Linked DNA regions of Rattus norvegicus. The protein of the gene in region 1 interacts with the protein of each later gene in a pairwise test. Links are inferred from orthologs where the notes say so. Each region holds a gene or a part of one and is shown in the gene's direction. Other genes may lie near its edges.

Region 1 (5,115 bases):
AATAGTGATTCTTAATATTTAAAAATGTGATATATATATACATATATATATGTATATATATTGGAGAAATTTTACCAAAACCACAGCAGTCATTCAGCAGCCTTCAATAATTTTAAATGTAAGTTTGGTAAAGAATTTTTGTACAGGGACCTGGAGAACTGACAAAACTGTTAGGAGTATTTTCTGCTCTTCTGGAGGATCTGAGTTCAGTTCACAGCACCCACATAGCCAGGTTCACAACTACCTATAGCTCCAGTAACAGGGAATCTGAGGCCACTTATCTTTTGGCTGAACAGGTACCAGACCATACCATGCATGCTTTCACACAGATATACATACATACATACATACATACATACATACATACATACATACATACATACACACATACATAAAAATTTTAAAAATTTTAACTCCACTCCCTGCTCAATTTTATATGATTGTCTAATGCATTATTCACCTTATACTGAACAAAATTTGACATTCTAGCAAAGTCATGGCTGTTCCACTAGGGGGAGAAAAACACCAGTAGTATTTGTTACCAACCCTTAGCCCAAGGGTTAGGCACTTTACTTACATTATCCACCAGGTGTCAACCGAGAGAAGAAAGTTACCCCCCCCCCCCCCCCGCCTTAAAATACACAAATGTGTAATTTTATGCTTAACAAGCCAAACTCTTCAGACAAACGGCTTGCCCAGTAATTATTCTTGACATAGTTATATTCTAGATTTTTTTAGCTCACATGTCAAGTCAAATAAAATGTAATTAAATAAAAATGTAGATTTTTTTAAAATAAAGAAAACAGCAAAATAGTTCGTTTGTTGTGATTCGCCCTATCCGGATTTACCATGCAAAAAGGATCTGATGTTTAACTATAGACAACCTCGTCCGATTTTGGCTATGCATAAAACAGGATTTCATAATATAGCCATGTTATGAGGTTATGTTGACTGTTAATGATCTTAGTCTATGCCATTACCCTCTAAATCCTGGTGATGTTTAGAACTGCATTTTTTTACTCAAGGCATTGAAAAAAGGAGAAATGTGCCTGTATTTAAAGATGTAGCACGGCAATTAGCATGTTGAAGTAAAAGTAAGGCTTAAAAATTAAGCCTCATTTATGTAACAAATCATACTTAAAAACCAAAAACCACCGTATATGCTTTTCTAGCTAAGACTTTTCAGTCTGTTGTAAACAGTGTCAGCTAAATGACTATGTTCAAACTGTCTCTTATGAGGTGGTAATTAGGGGTGTGAGCTCTATTCTTATTCCTGAGGATACAGAAGTTGTAATCGCGTCATTCTCTGCAATGGAGCAGTAGGTGGTGTCTTGAAAAAGGACTTTTTCTCCCGTCGAGGAAGTGGTCGGGCCTACACACTACACAGACAACTTGGTCGAGTTTGAAGCTGTAGGAGTCTGGGAAGGCAGCTGAAGACAAGAGCTGCCTGGAGCATTGTTCTTTGGCTCCTAAGGCCTTGGCTTAGTCCATTGCCACCCTGTCTACAAAGTCCTGCTTGCTTTTGTTGTTTCTATCCAAGTCAACAATGCTTTCTAGTATGAACAATATTTGTCTGCTTTTTATTACATTTTCTTTTGAAATTCATTAGCTTAGACTGGGGCCACCAGCGGCTTGCCCAACCGGTTTCTCCCCTTCCCCCACGGCTCGCACGTCCTGCGGGTCCGCGGTACGGGCGCACACCCTGGCCTGGCGCCGCCGGGCCCCTCTACCTAGCTCGCGGAGCGCGTGCGGGGCCGGCGCTGCAGCCGCGCGGAGTGCCCGCCGGCCAATCGCTGCGGCCCATGCACCGAAGTCAGGGACGCCGGCTCCACACCTACTGTACCGGGAGCGCGCGACGAGAGGGAGGCGCGCGCCTCGCGGGAGGGAACGCGCAGGGAGGCTGGCTGCAGTCGCGGCCTGCGCCTGCGCACTGGGGTTGTTTTTCACAAAGCTGCTCTTAAAGTGAGCTGGCAGCCTCCAGCCGCCCGTCTTTGTAAGGAGACCACTGAGACGAGCAGGAGCGTGGAGCAGCGGCTTCTCTGCTGCCCTGACTTTTTAAGAAATCTCAATGAACTATTTGTAGACAATCACTGATCCTGCCTGCAAGATTTTTTTTTCTTTTGCACGGCAAAGACACCGATCAGTGTTAAGTGAAGATCACATCTTATATGCGATCTTGACTTTTTTTGGTCTTATTATATTTTTATAGATTTTGTTATAATCATGGTGCTGGGAAAGGTAAAGAGTTTGACAATAAGCTTTGACTGTCTTAATGACAGTAATGTCCCCGTGTATTCTAGCGGGGACACTGTCTCAGGAAGGGTAAATTTAGAAGTTACTGGGGAAATCAGAGTAAAATCTCTTAAAATTCATGCAAGAGGACATGCGAAAGTACGCTGGACTGAATCAAGAAACGCCGGCTCCAATACTGCCTATACACAGAATTACACTGAAGAAGTAGAATATTTCAACCATAAAGACATCTTAATTGGGCACGAAAGAGGTAAGTTTTTATATTAGTCACTACATTCTACTTCTGTGCATGAGAACTTTAATCTCCTTTAATGCAGTTCTAGTCGGCAGTTTGATGAAGGTAGCAAACTTAGAAGATGTAGTTTCTCCTTGACGTCCAAGCGTGTTAAGCTGTAATCCATGCAGGCGTCTGCAAAGTGAGTGCAAACTGCACTTAACTTCATCTGTAACCGGCTTCATATCTGCCATACGCACCTTATAACGTGTTCAAATGTGACTCCGTCGTTTTACTGATATTTTCAAATTCATTTGCAAAGACTGCAGTCCAATGTTGGATTTCTCCTTTTATTTTACAATCTTAGATACAGGAAGGAGCACCAATAAAGAACTGTAGTGACATTTTAAGAAGGTTGCTAGATGTATCTGCTTTTGATATTAACGTGCAAACGACTTTAAAGACTTGATTATTGTTCTTTGATAAAGGGTTTCCCTGGCTTATTTTGACATATGGCATCAACACCCCCACGTGTTTTCCCATTTCTCCCAATTCCTTTTAAAATGTACATCAAGCACCATTTATTTTAAAGGATAATATCTATCATTATGCAAACTATTAAGTCAGTTTAGAAGCCATTCCGGGTCAGTACTTTTCTTCTCGGAGCATCATGTCTAACTTTGGAACGTGGATTCAATGAAACCCATGGCAGACAGATGGAATTGAAAAGTATATGGCACATCGGATTTGGTTTTTGGGTACAAGATGAAGATTAAGGCATTGTCAAAGGGACAAGAGGTCCTAAGATTTGCGATCTGTTGTTTAAGTGGCTACAATGTGGAAATATAGGCGACTCCAAGCTTGTTTTTCTAAGTTTCCACCCTTTGTTAGAAGCGGTTCAATCCTGTTTCGGACCAGTTCTGGGGGATGGTGAGGAGGGGCGCTTGTTCTGCTCTCAGCAGATTGGTTACACGCGTCAGGTGGTGGCGATGACTTAATTCCTAGTCCAAGAAGAATATAATGTTAAAACTGGTTATGTAATTTGTGTTTCTTCTTTCTAATGCAGTATTTTAGTGCAAATACTGGCGATTTTTCAGATAGAGGCATGCTTTTTTTTTTAAGTATCTAAAATATACATCCTAGGGAGACGTTAATTGAACTTAACGCAAGTGAGAAATGGAGGATGCTTTAAGTTACACAGAATTAATGTACCGTCTTTTAAATATAAAGGTGAAGCCAAGTCTTGGGGTTTACGCAGCTACACCGAGGTGTTCTACATGCTGAAATGGTTCCCTAGTTCACCTTCCGCAGCGTCCACACGAATGGGCCATACAGTACCTAATGACAGCGCTCGTATTTGTTTTTTAAAAAGGGCAGATCCATGAATTTGCTTTTGAACCTGCTTTGACGTCGCACCCTTTAAAAACATAAGAAGAGACAAAGGCTTTTTCCTCGAAGAGTTAAGACTTGTAGTAGGGGGGAAAGAACGAGTTCTGTGGACACACACTTGATCCGTTGCACCACGATCTCACAGTTAAGATAACTACCTGCGCCCTGCGAGGTGCCCCAGCAAGCCTGGCTACGCGTGGACGGGCTCTTAAGGCTGGAATAGTTTCAATGACTTCAAACTGGCAGCTCGCTCAAACTAGCCTGGTAGCTGAGCGCCCGCCCCGGGCGCCCAGCGATAGGCGGAGCTGCGTTTGTTAGCCTGTTGCTAAGGCGATGCCAGGCGTTGATTGGACTGGGCACGGGGGGGGGGGGGCGAGGGGGAAGTCGAGCCGGCTCGCGCCGGCTGGGGCGAGGCTTGGAACCGGCGTGCGCCGGTAAAGGTCTCTCCCGGCCAGCCGCCTCCGCCCCTCGGCGCGCCCCTCTCCGGGTGTCCCAGGCCCCTCGCCCACTGCAGCCGCCGCAGGTTTCATTGCCCTGGGCTCAAGCTCGGTTAAAAATCCCACCAAAGGCTGATCGAGGTGCGGGCGCCAGGGTACCCCCGGGGCTGGTACCTGTGTGACCCGAGGGGACATGACACAGGACAGATAGGGGAGACATCACCGGCACCAACTGGGCCTCGCCCATTGTTCCCCGGGGCCTCCGCCTCCGCGCCGCCGCCCCAGTTCCCCCTCGCTGTAACAGCGAAGGTGTCAGGGTGGCCTGAGCCAGATTGAACCGGTCACCGGCTGGGGCGTGGAAAGCGGAAGCTCGGCTTGCTGTGGCTCCGCCTCCGGCCCAGCATTCTAGGCTGCTCGGGCGCGAGCGCCGCGCGACGTATGCCGTATGTATAGCGGGGCGCGCGGAGCGCGGCCGCGCGCGGGCGGGCCGGCTGGGATCTGCTCAGCGCCGGTTTAGGCCGGTCCTCTCCTGCTCTAGTCTAGTTCTTGATTGACAGCCAGGCACTTGTTTACCACGGCGCGGCGGCCGCAGCACTCCTCAATGAGACTGCTGAGCTGGCACAAAAGGGAGCCGAGGAAGAAAGGGAGAGAGGCGAAGTTTGGGCGCCTTGGAGGGAGCGAATTGACGGGCCATGGCTCCCCCGGCCGGTCCTCAGGGCTGACGCTGTACAGGGGCTCCCCAGGAGGCTCTGGAAGCAATGCGCAGATATGGTCAGGTCACCATGATTTAGGGATGAAAGTCATATTTTTATGTATTTTCAG
Region 2 (5,013 bases), on another chromosome or scaffold:
TGTATTAGTATTCTCCTAATACACCATGAGACAGCTGTACGTGGCCACACAAACCAGAAAACCAGGTTTCACCATTTCCAACCCTCCCTCCCAAACATTCTTGAGCTGACATTCCTAAGGACAAAGGTGCTGTTATTTTTCCTCAGTGGTGAGTTCCAGGCTAGACACCATTAGCTGCTTGGGGCAGTTTTCAGTGACTTAATTAGTTAAAAGCCAACTCTTGAAGAATGCATCTCGTGGAAGCATTTTCTGTTCCAGAAGCCGGTTCTGGGTCTTGTATTGCTCTAGTCTCTGGCGTCTTTTTTCACTAGTTCTTGATTGACTCAGGGCTTCACATTCTCATGGTGGCCTATGGCCACCTGTTAGGTGTTAGGCTGTTAGGCTGGGTTCCCCATGGTTTCCTATGTATTGGCTATCACTGTTCAAGTGTCTTGGAGCGTAATGGGTCTTCCCCTCTCATCCGTGAGAATGGAGGTCCCAGCCCTTTCTGTTGGGCAGAACTACTGCATGGGCTCAACCGCTCCCAAGAATCCTCACAGAAGTTAAGAGTAGTCTTAGATCTTAGCTGTTATGATAGGCTGGAGGGCCGTGTGTGTGTGTGTGTGTGTGTGTGTGTGTGTGTGTGTGTGTGTGTGTGTGGGTGGTGGTGGTGGTGGTGGTGGTGATGAGGTGAGTTCATGGGTGCTGAGTTAACCCAGAATGTGCAATTTTTTCTTCAGTGCCTATTTTGGGCTACAATGACTGGGAAACCTGATATTCCTCAGGCCACTCACAGCACAGCTACTGTCCCACGCGGGTCTTTCAGTGGCAGCCTCCCACTCACTCTGATAGTGCTGCACCCTTCGCCCCGCCCCGCCCCGCCCTCCGCAGCCTCCCAGGGTGGCAGCCAGCATTCCTGGACAGAACTAGGCTCAGCAGGACCTTTCCTGCAGCAGTTATGGGGTAAAGCGAGGCTTCATCCGGGCCCACGCGAAGTTTCCCAACCGCGGGGCAGGTGGGTCCTGCACGAGCACAAGCTGGTGGGTGCATGGTGTGTGTGGGTCGGGGGGGAGGGGGTCTCCCTACCCTTCATCCAACTCCGCCGCACTGCACCCTCCTGAAACGCACCCCCACCCCTTAGCCCGCGTGTCCCTTTAATGCGTGTCCCTTTACTGCGCGCGCTCGTCAAGGTCCTCGCGTCCCTCCCTTCGCGCCGCCGTCGAGCCTCGATTTCCCTCCTCCATTTCCCTTCGCCCTAACCCGCCTTTACCGGGCCCAGGACTCAGCTGTCACTTTACTTTTGCGCGCGCACCTTACTGGTCCCCCCCGCGCGCGGGCACGCGCCGGCGGGGGCGGGGCCAAAGCGCGTCGCGGGCTCGCGGGCGCGGCACCGCGAGGCCGACGTGGGGCTCGCGCTGTCGCGGGCTCTCGGGGCAGGCAGGGCGAGTGCGCGCTTGGGAGGGGGCGCGCGCGGACGGCGGGCGGCGGCGGCAGCGGCGGCTCGCGGAGGCGGCGGCTTCACTCCCGGACTCGGCGTCCGAGCCGCGGCTGGAGCGCGGGCGGCGCCGCGAGGTGAGTAGGCGCGGGCGGGCGGGCGTGGCCGCGGCCGGAGCCCCGGCGTAGGGCGCGCGGGGACCCCACGCGGCGAGGGGCAGACCGGCGAGATCCCCGCCCCCGCCGCGGCCTCGGCTCGGGCGCGCGCCCGCGGCCCCGCAGGCCTCCCTGGCCCTGCGCGTGCCCGCTGGGGCCCGCGCGCCCCTCCCCCCTCCCGCAGAGTGTGGCCCTCCTTCGCCTTCGAGGACCTGTCCTCTCCCCTCCCGCGCCCACCGCAGCCAGGAACTAAGTCTCCGCAAAGTCCAGGATGGATGTCGCGGTGCAAAGTGCCCGGCTGTCCCGAGCTCTTCCCTAATTGCATAATTGCTACACGAGGTGTCCAAGCGGGCGAGGGCCCGCCCGGGAATACCGGCTGAGTGTGTGCGTGATGCCCCGGGGTGGGGGGCGTCACACTGGTCTTTTGTAATGCCTGGTGCTTGGCACAGTTTGGCTCCGAAGCCGGTTTTCCTCTGGCTTCTCTGCAGCCCCCACTGGCCTGATTGGAAACTGGATTCCCTCTGTCCCCCCACCCCCACCCACCCCCTTCTTTGCTCCTAATGTTTTGATCCATTTGCCTTTTTCCAATTCTAATGAACATAAAGCCTGGCTTCTTGCGTCTTTTCCCACGACTAACCAGAAATGCCCCATCCATCTTCCCTAAAGGAAATTAAGGCCGCATTAGAGAGACATCATCACCCTGGGCTTGGTGGCAGCTCTTGGACCCATTTGCTGGTTTGCAAGACTCTTATCGTCCAACCCTGCATTGTGTCATTTTGAGGGTCTACTCGAGTATTTCCATTTTAAAGTACAAAAGAATTTGCTAGGACTTGCCTCTGATTGCCTTACTGTTCAGAAAGATTTTTAAGAGCTCGTCTTAGTTTTAAATCCTTGCATTTTGAAAAACACGCTCTAGAGATGCGATAACCAAGTCCGAGTCTTGGGAATCTAAATATTTGTCTTTACTCAGGCAGTCAGGATGCTCCTGGGCGCTTTGCAGTTTCGTTTGTGTGCGATGAAGATGGAGTGTTTTCATATGCCGTACCTTGAGCTCTTTCCCCTAGGGCACAGCACTTCCCCCAGTCAGGTGCTCCACTTTTATTTTTCGAATAAATATCTTTTCAGTCACTTGGAAAGCTGGGTAGCGCTACATGATCGGCACATAACATACAACATTTCACGTTTTGGAAAAGTTCAGAAATCCCAAGTAGAGAAACCGGGACGTCAACGACAAGTTCACATTTTCCTGTCGGAGCAGCACAAATGAATTCTTGCTTTCCTGAGCTTTTGAAAATCTTGATATTTGGTGATTTGGATAGTAATGTGGACTGCAGTACTGTTGCTTTCCTCGCTGGGATTTGCAGCCAGATCCTTTAGTTTTTCTGAAACAGGCTACTTTCACTCTCTATGTGCTGGCAGGGAATTTCCAGAACCCCATGACATCACAGAGCGTATAGTCAACAAAGCTTAGAAAATGAGTGTTTCAATTCTTAAATGTAATGCATTTATGTTTAGTTAGGGACTACGGTTTGCTCTGAATCTGAAGTAAAAATACCACTTGAGGTGCCTTAAGTTCTTTGAAACTGTCGTTGGAGGATGCATTTGTGTTTAGTGAGATCCCTGGAACCTAGCTTCCTTCTAGATTAGGGAATTAGCTCTTTAGGAATTAATTTTAAAATGCTAGTAAAGATAATATGTGGAAGTTTTAATGCAGGAGCCTACTCATTTATACTTTAGAGAGACGAGACACCAATTTGACACAGAGTTAATTTGAATTATCTATAGAGGGTCTCCTCTCATATGAATTAATTGTCCCAGAGTACACGATCACGTTGTCCCCTTTTTTTCTGTAATCCAGCAGAGAGTCTCTTAACTTTTGACATTTGAAAATGGGATACAGAGCCTTTGTTTCTGAATGGTTTTTGTAGTGCTTATCAGTGGCCTCAGGAGGATCTGTCATTAGTAGGTAAAACTTTGGGTCAGATAAGGTATCTTAGATGAAAAGTAGAAACGACTTTTTTAAGCTGTAAAACTATAGAAGCGATGCTTCTGTTTAGCCATTTCAGAAGATTCTGGGGAAGTGTTCTGTATGGAACCCAGGCCTTAACATACATGCTTGGCAGGCGCTCTGGAACTGAGCCCCATCCCCCAGACCTTCAGTAGTAGTTTTAGTCCTTTACTCTTCTGGTCTTCTGCTGTAGTCATGGATGTTTCAGTTTCAGGTTGTAGCCCACTACATCACAGAGTGGCCTATTCAGTAACTGTAGAGTTTACACATTATCAGGTGTGCACATAAAGAGTATCGAAACGAGTGCGCACTTCACGACTGACTCAGCACACAGCAGTCATAGCCGTGGCCGCAGTGTAAGGGAGCCACTTTCCTGCAGTTCTGGTGTCTGCCGTGTGATGGATTGCCTCAGGTTTCAGATACATAGAACAGTTTCTCACTGATTTCACATCTCTTAAGAGTGCCCACGGTGTCCTGCCCCTGAGAGCATCTAATCCTAAGAATGCTTCTTTCTGTTTCCCTATACACCTGCTTATCCAGCAAGCTATAGGGTACCTACTTACAAGGCTTTTAACTTTAGGTATATTTTAGCTCAAAGAAGCAAGCTGAGAAAGAGTACAAATATTAAACCCAAGTAATGAGAAGGTTAAAGTCAAATAAGAAACCCTAAGAAATATGCTCAGACTTTTTGAGCTAGACGGGAAACATAACTGACATAAAATTTCAGTGTTCTATTAAGTGACTTTATTGCTCATAAAAGGTGTCTTAGCCATGGAGAATGATGCCCTCCATTTACAGGAGAGGTGGGAGCACAGGCCGGATGTCTTGTGAGTGTTTGACAGCTATTCAAACAGCCTTACTGTTTGTTATGAACAAAGGGACTAGGATGAGGGTGGTGACGTCACATGTAGTGTCTTTGGACGCGTCATCATCACTGTGCTTCCCGATTCTCCCAGGCCTTTGCTGTACGTATCTGTTTTATAAGTTTGTCGTATAAAACTTCCGGTCTGTTGAAGGCCTGCATTTAGAAGAGCTACCATGGTTTTGAACCAACTCCAGGTTGAACCAATGATGATGAAAGCTGATCAGGGTTATTAGGTCATGTCTTTGAACTAGGTAATGATAGGTAATAAATTGTGTTTGAAGTGAAATGTTTCTGTGTGCATTGAAGCTTCCTCTTGACCATGTCAACAGCGTTTATTTCAAAGTCTCAATTTAAGGGTAACCAAAAAGGGTCCTTTTCAAGAGGACTTTGGATAAAACTCCCTCTCTCCCTCTTCCTCTCCCTCTCCTTCCCTTCTTTCTCCCTCTCTCCCTCTTCCTCTCCCTCTCCTTCCCTTCTTTCTCTCTCCCTCTCCTCCTCTCTCTCTCTCTCTCTCCCTCTCCCTCTTCTCTCTCTCTCTCTCTCTCCCTCTCCCTCTTCTCTCTCTCTCTCT
Region 3 (5,244 bases), on another chromosome or scaffold:
ACACATATACATATACACACATATATAGGCACACACATATACACACATACATACACACACACACACACACACACAGGCATGGTTGCTTGCTTTTATAATCTTAGCACTAGAGATGAAGAGACAATAGGCTCCCTAAGGCTCTCTGGCCAGCTAGTCTAATGGATTCTGTGAGATCCAGGTTCAAGTAGAGACTCTGTCCCCAAAATAAGGTGGAAGGGCTGGAGTGACAGTTCTGGGTTAAGAGCATGCACTTCCTGCTTTTCCTGAGAATTCAAGTCTGTTCCCAACATATGTCAGGCAGCTTCTCAGCTGTCTATAATGCAAGCTCCAAGGCATCCTATAGATCCTCTGGCCTCCACGTACCTGCACTCACACACATACCCACATTCAGACATCCACACCCACACATATGCTGCTAAAATTCCTTCCTAGGGATCAGATATGTGCCTACTCCTCCCAAGGTCTCAATGACAAATCAAAGCACAATTCCACAAAAGTTTACTTTGGGGAAACAGTGAGTTTGTTGGGCTTCCTTACAGAGCATAGGTAAGGGATTTGAGACAGGGTTTCACTGTACGGTCCTGAGTGTCCTGGAACTTGATCTATCAGTCTGGCTTCAAACTCAGAGTCCAGTCTGTCTCTGCCTCAAATGCTGGGATTAAAGGCTTGTGGTACCACACCCAGCTAATAAGAATAAACCTTAAAAAATAATAAAGTGGAAAGAAATAGGGGAAGACACCTAAGTTTACCTCTGACTTTGGCATATGCAGCACAGGTACACACACACACACACACACACACACACACACACACACACACACACACCCCATACAATGAAAAAATGCACTATGCTTGCCTCACTCCAAATGTACCAACCATCTTGGCTTTGCACCACAGAATATTGGGGGTGTGTCTATTGTCTTCTTTGGTGGGGCTGACTGAGCCTCAGTTTTCTGAGGTTATGAGAGTCACCTGTCATTAGCTCAGGAAAAGAGCCAAACAGTGTCTATCCAACATTATCGTTTTTTACACCGAAGTGAAGTAGAACCATCTAAGTCCCAGAACCTACTAAAATAGTTATGTGCTATATACAGGAGCCCCACACAGCACTCAAAATAACTCCTTCAGGGGTCAAGGGCTGACAAACAAACCTTTTAATAATATTTCCTCTTTGATGTCCAGTAATTATGAGCTTGTATACAGGGTGACTCACCTACACCTGGTTCAGTATTGTGTTTTCTACACACCCCTACAGCCACAGAGCCACGCTCAACCATCTCGAACGTTCATCCATTCAACAGATATTACCTGAATGCCTGTCTGATTCATGAGTTACAAAGAAGTAAAATATTATTTGTTGCTAGACAGCAGCCGGCAGGTAACTTAAATGTCTGACACTGGGCGCGTATTTCCTAAGCGCGTGTCTTCTGATCTTGAAAGAAATACACTTATGTATGTGAACTCGTTGATTAATTAACGAGGGCCATCTAATCTTCCAGATGCCTTCAATTTGCAGTTTTAGTTAAAAGTCCTTCTGTCTTTGCAAACCGGACCTGCTTTCTGGATTGGGCTAACTCCTTTGCTAGCTAAAAGCACTCTGTGTCTTTAAAAGGAGGGCGGCCTCCTGTCAAACGGGCCCCAAAACATAGGCCGAAGGCGAGTGCAGTCCCACCCACTTTCTGTGACGTCCCGCGTCCGGGCTTCTGATTGCGGGCCTCCGACGTCAATCGCGGGCCGTGCGTCTTGCTGGGACACAGTGGAGGTCTGCGCTCCGGTCTGAGGGGCGGTCGGGTGTATTCTGCACTCACCCCACACCCGCGAGGCCCGCGCCGCCCGACCCAACGGCGGAGCCGCCCAGCGCCTCCCCTGGCACCCGCTCGCTCCTCGCTGGAGCGAGACGTGGCCCGACGGCTCCGGTCACTATGGTCAGTGGTGGCGGGACGGGGAGGGGGCGCCGCCAGGGCGCGTGTGCGTGCGCGCGGTCGGGCGCGAGGCTTTAGCCCTTTCCACCCTCGGGATGGTGAACATCGGAGTGCGCCCGCCGCGCTATCCCTTCGGGGACCCACAGCCAGAAGATCCAGCCCAGGCTGAGCCCTGCTGCCTCGTGGCCACTCTAGGTGGTCCCCAGACACCTCCTTTAAGTCCTGATGCTTATGCCTGACTGGGAAGGAATGGGATACCTCTAGGGTTGTGGTCTCTACTCTTTGTTAAGTAGCACTCGTGTAGACAGCTTGCAGTCCACCCATCACAGACTTAGCCACCACAGACAGACCATACCCCAGCCAGTTGTCCCCAGGGACGAACGATCCGACCACCCGGGCAAGCCTTAATACTCCTTGATGTAAACTCAGTTTCCTAATGGCAACAGGTCTGTAGAGTCAGGACACATGAAGAGGCAGCCCCCGGTTGTGAAAGATGAGTTAGGAGTCCAGGCAAAGTGATTTAGAAGAACTTCCTAACAGAGGAGACCCAAGAAAACCTGGGCTGGTCAAACCCGGTCAAACCCAGGGCTTGGGCAAGTGGGGAAACTGAGGCCAGACAGGGAGAAAAGAAAGCTGGTAGGGATTGTGGTGGTGCAACAGCTAGGACTTGGACCCAAGCCCCTGGTCCAGTGTTCTGTGTTGCATCAGCCTACCCTCCAGGTTGCCATGGGGTCAGGCCTCCTACAGGGGATTGGATATGCTGGTTAGCCTATGTTATTCAACTTCCAGCAAAGGGCTCCAGGGAGCCTGACCATCTAGTGCTACTGGTCAACTTGGGGTCACTTAGTTCTGGGATTGCCTGCTCTTTCTGTTTTGTTTGGTGATGCTGGGTTTTGAACCGTTTTTCATGCATGCTAGATAAGGCTTGACTGCTAAGCTACACTCCAGTCTACTTAAGTCTGGGCTATCCCAATGGTTATTATGAGGAGTTGGGGTGGGGGGTGGCAGGGAGTGCAGGGGTGGGGAGATGGGGGGGGAGGGAGTGGCATGGGTGGTGGTGGTGGTGGTGGATGTGGTTTTCAACTAGGGTGTTTGAAATCCAGAGATTGGGTGGTGCAGGTGCCTGGTTCTTTGTGCTTGCCCCTCCTCCCACATTTGGGTCACTACTTCGGGACACTGTGAGGCTAGGGCCAGAGTCAAACCTGTGCTGGTATGGATAGACAGCCAGGGTATCTTCTTACAAGTCATTCTCCTGCCCTGTGGGGGAGGGGTGCAGTGTGTGTGTGTGTGTGTGTGTGTGTGTGTGTGTATCTCTCTGTGTGTGTCCGTGTGTGTGTGTCTGTGTGTGTGTCTGTGTGTCTGTGTGTGTGTGTGTAACTCAAAACTGGGGACGGACTGTAAGCACTAGTTTCCTGCTTGTTCTTGGTAACCCAAGGGTTTACTTGCTCTGCTGCTCTTGGAAAGCGGCCCAGGTATTTCTGCATTACCTGCCAGAGAATCGGGCTGTTGAAATGACAGTTTTAGCCACGCAGAATGGAGAGAGGATGGAGGATGGAGGAGGCTGTGTAGCTTCTGGCCACCAATGGTGGGTAGCAGATAGCAGACCAGTGCAGTAGGGACTGGGACCCCAACTTGTGTCCCTTACTGAATAGCTGGATCTGACCTGAACCCAGGAGACCAGCAGCTGGGACCCAAAGCAACTTCCCTCTGGGGAGTTTGGGTGCCTTGGAGAGGGAAGGGGAACAGGAGAAGAGAGGAAAGAGAGAGGAGAGGAAAGAGAGAGGAGAGGAAAGAGAGAAGAGAGAGAGATAATAGTTAAAACCCACCAAATAGGACATCTGCCTGGGAGTCACGAGGACAGAACTAGATGCTGTTTACATTGTGTTTATTATACACCCACTGTGTATTCGCCACCTTGTTAAGTCCTGAGGCCCATGGCTCATTTACCTGTAATGTGTTTAATGCGTTTAAATGTTGGCTGAGGTTACATGGCATGGGTGGTAGATGCAGTCTTAGGACTGACAGAATCTTCCTCTGTTTCCATGTCAGTGCCAGACAGAAGCCATGGAGTCCTTGGGAGTCAGGGCTGCAGACAGTGAGGGGCTCACCCTCACTATGTGTGCGTTTGCTCTTGGGGATGAGTGAGTGTGAGTATAGGCAGTCCGGGCACCCGTTCCTGTCTGCCTTCTTCTCTCGTGCATTAAAGAAACCAACGCTGGCATCCCCAGCCTATTTTGGGGCAGTGATAAGAAAGAACGACACCTGCCCTCTCCCGGAGTTCATGCTCTTGGGCTGGGTCACAGCTCCTGAATTACTGAGATGGCCTGAGAGCCCAACAGGGGCCTTGCACAGAGGAGCACGGTACCCTTCACCCGTAGGAAAAAGCTGGTGCTCAAGGTTGTATAGGAACATTCAGGAAGGACTGGCAAAGAGTACATTGCAGGTAGCAGGGAGATTGCCTTGGGACATGGTCAAGTGTGGGCATCCTGGGAAGAGTAAGATTGGGGGAGGCTGGGGGGAGCCCAGGGCAGTGAATCTGGGACAGGGGACAGGATCAGGGCTTTGCATGGGGGGCGGGCTGTTTAGTTTGGGTTGTCTGTACATGAGGGAACTGTTAGCATTTTTGACGAATATGGAATGGTTGCTAGCTCTGTCTGTCTGATGCTGGGTTGTGGGTGGCCAGCTGGAGGGAGAGGCAGGCTCGCTCATTCAGCATGCTTGCCGGTGCTACTGCAACAAAACCCTTCCGTGGGCCAGATCCACAGGGACTGCTTTTCCGATGAGTCTGGAGGCTGAGGTCTCAGGTGAATGTGCAGGGAGGGGCAGAGTCCCTCTGAAGGTGCTTAGGAATGTTCTACCCCCAGCTTCCCCAAGCTTCCCGCAGTAGCCTGCCTTATGACGTTGGAACTCCTCCACAGATGGCTCTCTTCTGTGCGTGTGTTTATAGTCCTCTTTTAATAAGGAAACCAGTCATGGGGCTGGTGGCCTAGCCTGCTCCATTGTGACCTCATCTTAACTAATTATATCACCGATGTCCCTATTCCAAAATTAAAAAAGAAAAATCATTCTGAGGCCCAGAGCTCCGGCTTCAGTAGTTCGGTTTGAAGCACTCGGGATACATTTTTAGAATGCATTCCAACATTCCTGAACATGGAGATCTGGCAGTGACAGATGACCGGCCCCTACCCTTGTGGAGTTGACATGGGAGTGGAGGGGCACACACCAGCCAGTGAGCCCACCTGTCAGATCCTGTCTCGAACGAGCAAGATAAGTAGATAGAATGGTGGGGGAGGGCAGGGAGGCTTCTCTTCTGAGGTGGCAT
Region 4 (3,812 bases), on another chromosome or scaffold:
AAGTACATTCAGCTTGGCAAACATAGGTTGGACAGGCACGTGTGCCTACTTCCACCCTGTTATTGTTATTGCATGACCCAATTAAAGTACACAGAGCCAGAAGATGTTTAGCTGTTATTATAATACCTTCCTTAATGTATAGTTGAGCAGTTGCTAGGCAACACTGTCTCATCCCGTTCTCACAGTGTCCTTCGGGGAGGTTGGCAGGGGTTGTCCTATCTTATTGATGAAGCCATGGAGACTCGGAAAAGTGAAGTGACACGCTTAGTTTGACATTGACGAAATCAAGATTCTTACTCAGGTCGGGCAGGGAGGCATGAGAATTTAACCAGTCAGCTCAGATGACCATCAACAGACGGATGGATGGAGAAGGCTTGATAATATACACAGCGGAGTTTTATTCAGCCATGAGGAAAAAGAGGATTTTGTCATTTGCAGGGGGAAAAAAAGATAGAGCAAGAGATAATCGTGTTAAACAAATAATACAGAGTCAGGATAGCAACACTTTTTTGTCTCATATATGGAATCTGGATTTCGTTTTAAAGGGTAAGACAGTAGAAGTAGAAGGCAGACAATGTTGAAAGACAGGGCAGCAGGAAGGACAGGGAGAGAAGCTCAATTACAGCCAAAGAGCATTTGTGTGTCTATTTGTAAAGGCACAGAAAAAAGTACAGAACCTCTGTATTCTAAGCAAAAACTAAAAACTGCTTCTCAGCCTTTTGGCTACAATAAGAATGCGAGACCACAAATGAAGTCTTTGCTGAAAAGCAGTCTGTGAGCCTTGGGTCCCTTGGCGTTCTGTGACCTCCCTGGAAACAAAGTGTTTCTCACATTTTTTTTTCTGGTTTGGGCTTAAGTGTGGCTGGAAGATGCTTTTCTACTCTTCTATGCCTTTTGTATCTTTAAATTTGGATCATTTTACGACCTCATCTGCACCATCGTGTTTTACTCACTCACTAATTTTTTTTTTCTTCCTTCAGAAATTCGAGCTGTTCCACTTGTTAACAGAGAGCGGGGTAGGTTTGAAGACTTGAAGGTTCACTTTTTGACAGACCCTGAACATGAGATGAAGGAAAAGCTTCTCAAGGAGTACTTGATGGTGCTGGAGATCCCGGTGCAAGGCTGGGACCACGGCACGACTCACCTGATCAATGCTGCCAAGTAAGCAGTCTCCTTTGTTGTGCCTTCTTGACGGGAGGGCGTGACAGGATGTGCCCTGGACCTGTCCTGTTACAAGCCTGCATTTTGGTGCTGACTGTGAAGTCATGGCCCTGGACCGCATTCCGGAAATGTGGTCTAGGAGCTAATGGTATACGGTCTTGTGTTCCTTGGATTCACTTATTTCCCTGTTTGTCCTCTAGGTTAGATGAAGCTAATCTACCCAAAGAAATAAATCTGGTAGACGACTACTTCGAGCTTGTTCAGCACGAATACAAGAAGTGGCAAGAAAACGGCGATCAGGGCAGGAGAGGGGCGCATGCGCAGAACCCTTTGGAGGCTTCCACACCCCAGCTATCACTCATGGATATAAAATGTGAGACGCCCAACTGTCCTTTCTTCATGTCCGTCAACACTCAGCCTTTATGCCACGAGTGCTCCGAGAGGCGTCAAAAGAACCAGAGCAAACTCCCAAAGCTGAACTCGAAGCTGGGCCCTGAGGGAGGACTCCCAGCGGTGGGACTTGGCTCCTCGAACTGGAACCCCGAGGAAACAGCTGGAGGCCCCCATTCGGCCCCACCCACGGCCCCCAGCCTTTTCCTGTTCAGTGAGACCACTGCAATGAAGTGCAGGAGCCCCGGGTGCCCTTTCACGCTGAACGTGCAACACAACGGATTCTGTGAGCGTTGTCACAATGCGCGGCAGATGAGCGCCAGCCACACCGCAGACCCCGGTAAGTGCCAAGCCTGCCTTCAGGATGTCACTCGGACGTTTAACGGCATCTGTAGTACCTGTTTCAAAAGGACTACGGCAGAGCCCACCTCCAGCCTCACTTCCAGTGTCCCTCCCTCCTGTCACCAGCGCTCCAAGTCTGACCCCTCACAACTCATCCAAAGTCTCACCCCACACTCTTGCCACCGAACTGGAAATGCCGTCCCCTCTGGCTACCTTTCCCAGACATCACGGACTCCAGCAGACAGAACTGGGACAAGCAAGTGCAGAAAAGCTGGCTGCATGTATTTTGGGACTCCGGAAAACAAGGGCTTTTGCACGCTATGTTTCATCGAATACAGAGAAAATAAACGTGAGTGAAATCATAGATTGCCCATTGCAGTAGCTACTGTCTAGACAGGACCCTGAGTGTCAAGAAAGTAGCCTACCTCAGCAGTTGGTTTGTGCCTGGGGACAGTTGTCGTTGCTCTGCTTTTGTACCTGAAAGCAGTAAACACCATCTCATTACAGCAGCTCTAGTTACCACGTACTCTAAATTAAAAGTATCCTAGAGATGTAGTTCATGCTAGCCCAAGATGAACCCATTATGTAGCCCAGGGTGGCCTCAGAGTCCTGGCAATCTTTATGCTTCTGACCCCTGAGTGCTGGGATTTCTACATGTACTGCCACACCAAACTGTGGGCTGATTTTAATAAGGCTATTGAGTATCTGCCATCCATGGAGAGTTTAGACTTCAGCGATGTTGGTGAGATGGTCTAAAGATAGCTAATAAAGAACAGGAAGTATTTACGGATGCCAGGAAAACATTTGTGGCTTAAGGACTGGTAAACAGCTCGTGTCTGCTGTTTGGTCTTTGACAGATCGGTGATCCGTATTCAAAGTTAAATTAATATCAGTAGATCCAAAGATGTTCGCTGACGTAAGTTTGGTCTTAAGCACCTGCTTAAAAGTTGTGCGAACCTAGGCTGGGATCCATTTCTTCTCTAACATCTGTGTGTGTGTGTGTGTGTGTGTGTGTGTGTGTGTGTGTGTGTGTGTGTGCACTGTAACCCGGATGTGATACTGAATAGCACCTACTCTTTTGTAGAGTCTGTCACCGCCTCTGGGAAAGCCGCTTCCTCGGCCCCCAGATTCCAGAACAACATCCCGTGCCTGGGCAGGGAGTGTGGCACCCTGGGAAGCACCATGTTTGAAGGGTACTGTCAGAAGTGTTTCATTGAAGCTCAGAACCAGAGATTTCATGAAGCCAAAAGGCCTGAAGAACAACTGGTGAGACATTTGGTGGAGCTTGACCCCTCTGGTATCCAGGTCCTTCATCCATGACAGATAGACTGTCTCCTTATGACAAAGGGCCTCTTTGAAAAGTCTGCCGGAAGAGAGCCTGGAAAAGCCAACCACATTTCATTGGCTCCCGGGGTGGAAATATTGCATGGCCTAAGTACACTTAGAATTTATTCTGAAAAGCCAGTGCAGTCAGCTGTAGACTGAAACCTCCTGCAAGCGTCCCGAAAGCCAGGGTGATCAGGGAGGGACATGTTAGAAATGAAGGAGAAGCAGACTTTCCAAACAGTCCTTTATCCCAAACACCGAGGCTGCTTCCATTTACTGGCATGTCGGGAAAACACAAACAACACACAAACAAACAGACAAAAATGTTCCCTCGGACAGAACCAGGCGGTCGGCTTCTCCTGGGATTGGCGGTCCTCAGTTACACATACACTTCTCCCACTCAGGCAGATCGAACACTCGGTAGAATCCACCCTGTTAATTTGAAGTCCCTCTGGTCTCCTGAGAAATGTAACACCTCTCTCTCTCTCTCTCTCTCTCTCTCTCTCTCTCTCTCTCTCTCTCTCTCTCTCTCTCTTCCCACTCAGAGATCAAGCCAGCGTAGAGAAATGCCTCGAACCACACAGGGAGCCTCA

Evidence for each region.
Region 2: the proteins of Arrdc3 (region 1) and Ube2e2 interact in binary tests that used the Homo sapiens proteins (3 or more experiments, as listed by UniProt). The two-hybrid records come from large-scale screens. The link is inferred for Rattus norvegicus from reciprocal best matches to the Homo sapiens genes ARRDC3 and UBE2E2.
Region 3: the proteins of Arrdc3 (region 1) and Otub2 interact in binary tests that used the Homo sapiens proteins (3 or more experiments, as listed by UniProt). The two-hybrid records come from large-scale screens. The link is inferred for Rattus norvegicus from reciprocal best matches to the Homo sapiens genes ARRDC3 and OTUB2.
Region 4: the proteins of Arrdc3 (region 1) and Tnfaip3 interact in binary tests that used the Homo sapiens proteins (3 or more experiments, as listed by UniProt). The two-hybrid records come from large-scale screens. The link is inferred for Rattus norvegicus from reciprocal best matches to the Homo sapiens genes ARRDC3 and TNFAIP3.

The regions. Positions count from the first base shown.
Region 1 is NC_086020.1:12,871,215-12,876,329, forward strand, and holds the start of Arrdc3 (arrestin domain-containing protein 3), read left to right. Parts: upstream 1-1,987; 5' UTR 1,988-2,223; coding exon 2,224-2,503; exon of another isoform or gene 2,504-3,468; intron 3,469-3,679; exon of another isoform or gene 3,680-3,816; intron 3,817-4,704; exon of another isoform or gene 4,705-5,051; coding exon of another isoform or gene 5,052-5,064; intron 5,065-5,115. UniProt on the Homo sapiens protein: Adapter protein that plays a role in regulating cell-surface expression of adrenergic receptors and probably also other G protein-coupled receptors.
Region 2 is NC_086033.1:9,410,179-9,415,191, forward strand, and holds the start of Ube2e2 (ubiquitin-conjugating enzyme E2 E2), read left to right. Parts: upstream 1-1,441; 5' UTR 1,442-1,551; intron 1,552-5,013.
Region 3 is NC_086024.1:128,308,138-128,313,381, forward strand, and holds the start of Otub2 (ubiquitin thioesterase OTUB2), read left to right. Parts: upstream 1-1,725; 5' UTR 1,726-1,922; coding exon 1,923-1,925; intron 1,926-5,244. UniProt on the Homo sapiens protein: Hydrolase that can remove conjugated ubiquitin from proteins in vitro and may therefore play an important regulatory role at the level of protein turnover by preventing degradation.
Region 4 is NC_086019.1:15,530,968-15,534,779, reverse strand, and holds part of Tnfaip3 (TNF alpha induced protein 3), read left to right. Parts: intron 1-980; coding exon 981-1,161; intron 1,162-1,361; coding exon 1,362-2,242; intron 2,243-2,977; coding exon 2,978-3,159; intron 3,160-3,764; coding exon 3,765-3,812. UniProt on the Homo sapiens protein: Ubiquitin-editing enzyme that contains both ubiquitin ligase and deubiquitinase activities.